Danio rerio: one gene and its partner. The protein of the gene in region 1 purifies or fractionates together with the protein of each later gene. This does not show direct contact. Links are inferred from orthologs where the notes say so. Each region holds a gene or a part of one and is shown on either strand. Other genes may lie near its edges.

What was found.
Region 2: the proteins of kat8 (region 1) and phf20l1 purify together in Homo sapiens (affinity purification with mass spectrometry; 3 studies listed by BioGRID and IntAct, with this or other methods). This does not show direct contact. The link is inferred for Danio rerio from reciprocal best matches to the Homo sapiens genes KAT8 and PHF20L1.

Annotation. Positions count from the first base shown.
Region 1 is NC_133178.1:31,500,542-31,503,277, forward strand, and holds the end of kat8 (histone acetyltransferase KAT8), read left to right. Parts: intron 1-1,465; coding exon 1,466-1,620; intron 1,621-1,707; coding exon 1,708-1,772; 3' UTR 1,773-1,941; downstream 1,942-2,736.
Region 2 is NC_133191.1:34,798,712-34,802,547, reverse strand, and holds part of phf20l1 (PHD finger protein 20-like protein 1), read left to right. Parts: intron 1-192; coding exon 193-333; intron 334-457; coding exon 458-642; intron 643-1,023; coding exon 1,024-1,123; intron 1,124-1,280; coding exon 1,281-1,476; intron 1,477-1,983; coding exon 1,984-2,227; intron 2,228-2,320; coding exon 2,321-2,477; intron 2,478-2,908; coding exon of another isoform or gene 2,909-2,945; intron 2,946-3,482; coding exon of another isoform or gene 3,483-3,836.

The DNA of each region.
Region 1 (2,736 bases):
TTCATTTAGTTGCTCAGGTGTAAAACAAGACAAAAAGGCGTTTACTCACACGCGCCCATCCCATCAGAATCGACAAGCTAGCACAGAAGCTCCATTGAATATACTGGGGTAAAATAAATGTTCATGTTTTAAAGACATGGTGGGGAAATATGTAATTTAATGCAGTGCTTCTTGTACAATCTGAGCCTCACTTTATATCAGATATCGATAATTTAAAAACAGAAACAGAGCTTAAACTGGACGATTTTGTAATGGCATACAGTTCACCGGAAGCGTTTAACCCAGGTTACTGACCAATTAAAAGTCCTTTAGCATACTTCCGCATATACACTATTAAGTTTGAGACCTATGAGGTATACCTAAACAATCAGGGCCTATAACGAATATTTTAGGAGTGAAATCAAACTGGACAATAAAGGGTCATGAATCTCTCAACTAATAATTTGACATCTATCAAGACATCTGTTAGCTTTAATTGTAGAAAAAAAACATGGTAATTTTGAGCTTTGTCTCTTTAATTTCATCTTTTAGTCTTAATATTTACATCAAGTCAGCATCACTGGTGGTGATGTAGCATAGGGCTATGAGTGCTTTGAAGTGTTGTCTAATTTTTATTCATGACAATTTAATTTAATTTTTTTATTTTTAATTTAATTTAATGTTTCCATCCAAAGATGCGAATTAACTTTATGTGCAAAACTGGAATATCACATTAAAGACGTGCGAATAAAGCAGCGTTTCCATCCAACAAATCAAAGAGAACAAAATCGTCGCTCCCTGATAAACCGGCACCAAGTATCAACAGTAAAGAGAAACTGCATGAATCTTTTCTTTATTTAACCCTTTAACTCAGGGGTCACCAAACTTGTTCCTGGAGGGCCGGTGTCCTACAGATTTTAGCTCCAACTGTTATCAAACACACCTGAGCAAGCTAATTAAGGTCTTACTAAGTATACTTGAAACATCCAGGCAGGTGTGTTGAAGCAAGTTGGAGCTAAACCCTGCAGGGACACCGGCCCTCCAGGACCGAGATTGGTGACCCCTGCTTTAACTACTTCACCAAGAAAAATAGCATTTCTTCTCCTAATGTCGCTAGTTAACTCACTCAGAAAAATCTAAAATATAAATCCATCAACTCAATCTTTTATGTGCATTTTTTAAATGTGCATCAAAACAATTGGATGTAAATGTAGTTATTGACAGACGCTACTTTCAAACGCTTTACTGTCTGAAGATCAAGTGCATTAAAAAAAAAAAGACGTACACTTTACCTGAAAGAGGGGGTTTCATGACTCTTTAATATATTTTCTACACTCCTTGTATTATATACATGCTTACACAGTTTTTACGTACATTTGGTGAGTGTTTATTTTAGACAATCATTATGCAATCGTTTAAAAAAAGTTGCTAATTTACTACCAAGGTTTTGTTAATGATTGCCAACTAATGCATAATGCGCCCACAGTCAGATGACGAGCATCACTCAGAGTGACATCATCAGCACACTACAGTCTCTGAACATGGTCAAGTACTGGAAAGGTCAGCATGTCATCTGTGTCACTCCCAAACTCGTAGAGGAACATCTGAAAAGTGCCCAGTATAAGAAACCTCCAATAACAGGTAACATCTGAAAAACAAATGCTGAACTGGGCAGCCTTCCTCTTTTTTCTCCAAAGTTTAATCGTTTAACTTTCTATGCTTCTACAGTGGACACACATTGTTTGAAATGGGCACCTCCAAAACACAAGCAGGCCAAGTTCTCCAAAAAATGAGGAGTATGAACGGTAAAGAGGAGAGTACGACTGCCACTTCACCCCTGATGTTTTTCACACCTAAATGTCATGTAGAAATACTTTCTCCAAGAGGAAAATGTCTACGATTGTACATTCGCATTGTATTGAGTCTGTTATTTTTTATAAATAAATGAATAGTAATATTCACATCATTGTTCATCATCTTTGTTTTATCATTGTGGTACTTTAGTTTATCTTTGTTTTGTAAAGGCCATTTCTTACTGCACAGACCAATGGCAACAAACAAGTCTGTCAGATTTTGCTGGATCAGACTGTAATGATTTTCATTTGGTCAGCTGTTGGTCAGTTTATTTTCACCAATGGTGGAATGTCTGAGCAGTGTGATTATGATTTTCCAACAAACTGACGTAAAACTTTACATAAAATTACTATTTAGCCATAGGAAGTATTCATTAATTACTGTGTTTATTGTGTGTGGCGATTGTGAACTGTTTTTTCAGCGACATTCTACATCCAATGGGCCACTTGTTTGTTGGTATTGGCATTTGTCTGAGCAGTTTAAATTGGCCTCAGGGTAGTTTAATATTTAGACCAAACCTTCCATCGTGTCCATGTGACAATGTTAAAAAGAAAAAGTTGCAAGTCAAGAAACATTTTGCTGAATTATTCATTAGGCAGTACAGGATTACCTATTGCACATGCAGCACCTGTCTGGCTTTTAGCTGAAAGCTGATCCCTATATACACTAGTGAGAATATATACATAAGATTAAGAGGGTCAAATGGAAAAAGAATGGCCCTTCAGCTTAAGCAACAATAACTTGGTAACTAATACTGTGGAACTGAGAAGAACTAAGAGGGGTTTTAAGTATTTTAGAGCAATAGTTTTAATGCAAATATGACATTTAAAACATAGGTGCTTTAATAAAACAATGGTGAAAATGTTTGCTAGAAGTAAAATATAATTTTGTTTACTTTGTAAA
Region 2 (3,836 bases), on another chromosome or scaffold:
CAAAAATGTTTTTGTACCCGAAGATGAAAGTTGACAAAAGCTCAAAATTATCCAGTTTTCCCCACAATTAAAACTGACAGGTGCCAATGTTTCATAATTGATGCTCAACACGCACAAATCTGTTAAAGTTTCTTGATTCTTAAACCTTTTAGTGTTACAAATATTTCAGTTTGTTCTCACCTTTGTGCTAAGGTTACCCAGACCTGGATGAGATGTCGTTGGCTTACTTGGAGAGACCGTCTTCCCCACCGCATCGTTCTTCCTCTAGTGCCTTCAAGCACAGCACCTTCCAATACCCTCGTGCCATACTATCTGTCGACCTCACCGGGGAGAGTGAGTTTTGTCATGTGGAGTTATTTGTGGCTGTAAAATTTGACTTGCTTGTTATAATAGATAGTAGTCAACATGAATACGATATTGGTAATGTTGAGCCTCTTATTTTCTTTTCCTATCGCAGACCTTTCAGACATCGACTTCCTGGAAGACTCGACAACTGAGAGCTTACTGTTCAGTGGAGATGAGTATAACCAGGATCTAGACTCAATCACTATGGAGGACTTTCAGGATGAGGATGATGATGGTGCTGATGAAATTGTTCGCTGCATATGCGAGATGGATGAAGAAAATGGCTTCATGATTCAGGTAGGATCATGGCATCAAATCTTAAAGGGATAGTTCACCCAAAAATTGAAATTTCTTTAGCTTTTACCCAAATTTAAGTGCTTCTAAACTTGATAGATTTCTTTTTTCTGTTTAATATTACAATTATTATTGTTGTACAAGATATTCGAAAGAATGCTTTAAGTTGCATTTAGTTGACATCCATAATAGAAAGAAAATAATACTGTAGAAGTTAATGGCTTTTTTACAACAGTTTCAGTATGTCTTCCGTTGTATTCAACAGAATGAAGAAGTGAGGGATTAGCATGATGACAATTAAAAATAATGGGTTAACTGTCACTTTAAATGTGTTGAAATAGTGCCTGAAAATGTGTATTTGTCTTTTTGCGTATCACTTTACAGTGTGAAGAATGTATGTGCTGGCAGCACAGTGTATGTATGGGGCTTTTGGAGGACAGCATCCCTGAACAGTACATCTGTTACATCTGTAGAGACCCTCCAGGTAACAATCATGCAACAGTTGAAAATTGTCAGCAGGATCTTTAACTGTATCCTGCTATTACAAATGTCTGTTTTTATTCCTTAAATGAATAAAATGAATTCTAAATATTAAACTGAAATGTCTCCAGATTTGTTACTAAAATATGCTCTTTTCTCAGGTCAGAGGTGGAGCGCAAAGTACCGCCATGATAAAGACTGGCTTCAAAAAGGCCACATGTACGGCCTGTCTTTCCTCACCGAGAACTACTCGCATCAGAATGCCAAGAAAATCGTGTCCACTCACCAGCTGCTGGCTGATGTTTACAGTGTTAAAAACCTGCTCCATGGCCTTCAGCTAAAGATGGATATTTTACAGTAAGAGCAATTACCAGAAGCCTGCTTAATCCTTTAAATTAGATGTTAACTAATTAACTGTCACTAGATATTTTATGCATAGAGATTGTTGCGCACAGTTCTTGTTGTCATAAAAAGCTCTTGTTGTCATAAAAATAAGTCTGTGACATTTTAATTGGAAAATTGATCAGTTGTTATATCTTGCTTTTCTGGATGTGTTAATTTTAACTTTTTGGTTGGAAGCACACACACCGTTTTCGTGGACTAGACACAGCACTACAGTTAAGGTGTTTGAGTTTAAAAGCAGTGCTCATAGATACATACGATATTGGTGATGTTACGATATCAGTGATACAGAGAACAACTTCCATCAGAATGGTTTTCTTTCTTTTTTTCTTAAACATCACCATTATGCACTAAAGGAAACAGCAAACAAGCGTAATAGGCCCCATATAAACTGGTCTTTGAATATTTTTTCTGTTATAGAAGAAAAACAGGAACTATAATATGCTTTTCACATTTTCTAAGGAACAAGCATAACCCAAGTTTACACTTGTGGGCTCGGTCTTGGGTAAACTCTGATGAGGACCAGCCTATGGGTGGAGTTCCAGACGGTCTACATTTCAAAGAGCACCTTAATCAGAATTCAAACCCTGAAACCTACATTACTAGTGAGCACAGCTACCAAAAACCACCTGGGACTGGTGCCGAGCACACAAGAGATGAGCAGGGGATGCAAATGGGCTCTCAGTTTAACATAAAGGAAGAAGAGGTATCCAAAGGACAGTTAAAACTCATATCTGTTCAGTGTCAGTATGTGGAAGAGAATGTTTAAAGATAATTGCTGTGTGTTATGTTTGTGTAGGTCAGCAGTGCCATTGCTCTGTCTGGATGTGTTAATGACAGCAGTGTGGAGCAGACCAGGAACTGCCTGCAGTGGCAGATGAACCTGCTCACACACATAGAGGACATTCAGAACCAGTTGTCGGGCCGCATGGACCTCATTGAGAAAGAGCTTGATGGTAAGCAGCCAAAACATGGAATGTGGCGCTAAATTACACATTTAAAATAACACCATTACCCCCTAATCTACAAAAGCATTTTGAGTGCTGGTCTGGAGTGGTTCTTAAATAGTAGCATCTTAAATAGCCACACTGCTGGGTGTGAAGAAAGAAAGGCTTGCGTTAGGTGCTGAGGGCAGGGCTACTGTGACAAACAAGATAAATAAAAACTCTTTTGAGCTGCATTTTTGAAATAGCAATGAACACAATGGTGAACCAGTTATTACAACTTGAAATCTCAGCAGCATCTTGCAAACCACGGCATACTGCTCACACATTGGATTCAATGTTTTTGGATGCCTATGTAGCTAAGCCAATAACATTATACTGAGAGCAAAGCAACATTGATTGTATTTGTGTTTGTTTGTATTTGCATTGCTGGGAAAGATGGGATGTATTCAGAGAGCAGGGTTCCCACTCTCCTTGAAAGTACTTCAGTTTCAGACATTTGGATTTAAGGCCTTGAAAGTACTTAAAAACAAACTTGGGTAGTTTAAAATGCTTGAATTAAACTTAAAATAAAAATAGTTTGTGTTAGTTCAACAATTTTACTATGCTTCTCTAAAAAAAAATATTGATGCTGGGTGTCACAGTGGCACAATGGGTAGCATGATCGCCTCATAGCAAGAAGGTTGCTGGTTCGAGCCTCGGCTGGGCCAGTGGGGATTTCTGTGTGGAGTTTGCATGTCCTCCTTGTGTTGGTGTGGGTTTAATGCAGGTGCTCCAGTTTACCCCACAGTCCAAATATGTGGTATTGGTGAATTAAACAAGCTAAATTGGCCGTAGTGTATTTGTATGAATGGCGACCCCTGATTAATAAAAGGACTAATCCGAAAAGAAAATAAATGAATGAACAAGAACTTTGAAATATAAAGCACATTTTATCAATATTTCAGATTAATAATATTACCAGTATTGCATTCAACAATTTATTAAATTCAGAGCTTAAAGAGTTCCGGCACTGAGCCTGCGCGTGCGGTTTAATTAGGGATGCTCAAAATAATCGATTAACAAAAGTATTGTCTTGTAGACCTCCGAGACAGGATTGTCTCGAGGCACAAGGCTGGGGAAATTACAAAAAAAATTCTGCTGCTCTGAAAGTTCCAATGAGCACAGTGGCCTCCATCATCCGCAAGTGAAAGATGTTTAGAACCACCAGGACTCTTCCAAGAGCTGCACGGCCATCTGAGCTGAGTGATCAGGGGAAAAGGGCCTTAGTCAGGGAGGTGATCAATAACCATATGGTCACTCTGTCTGAGCTCCAGCATTCTTCTGTGGCGAGAGGAAAACCTTACAAAAGGACAACCATCTCTGCAGCAA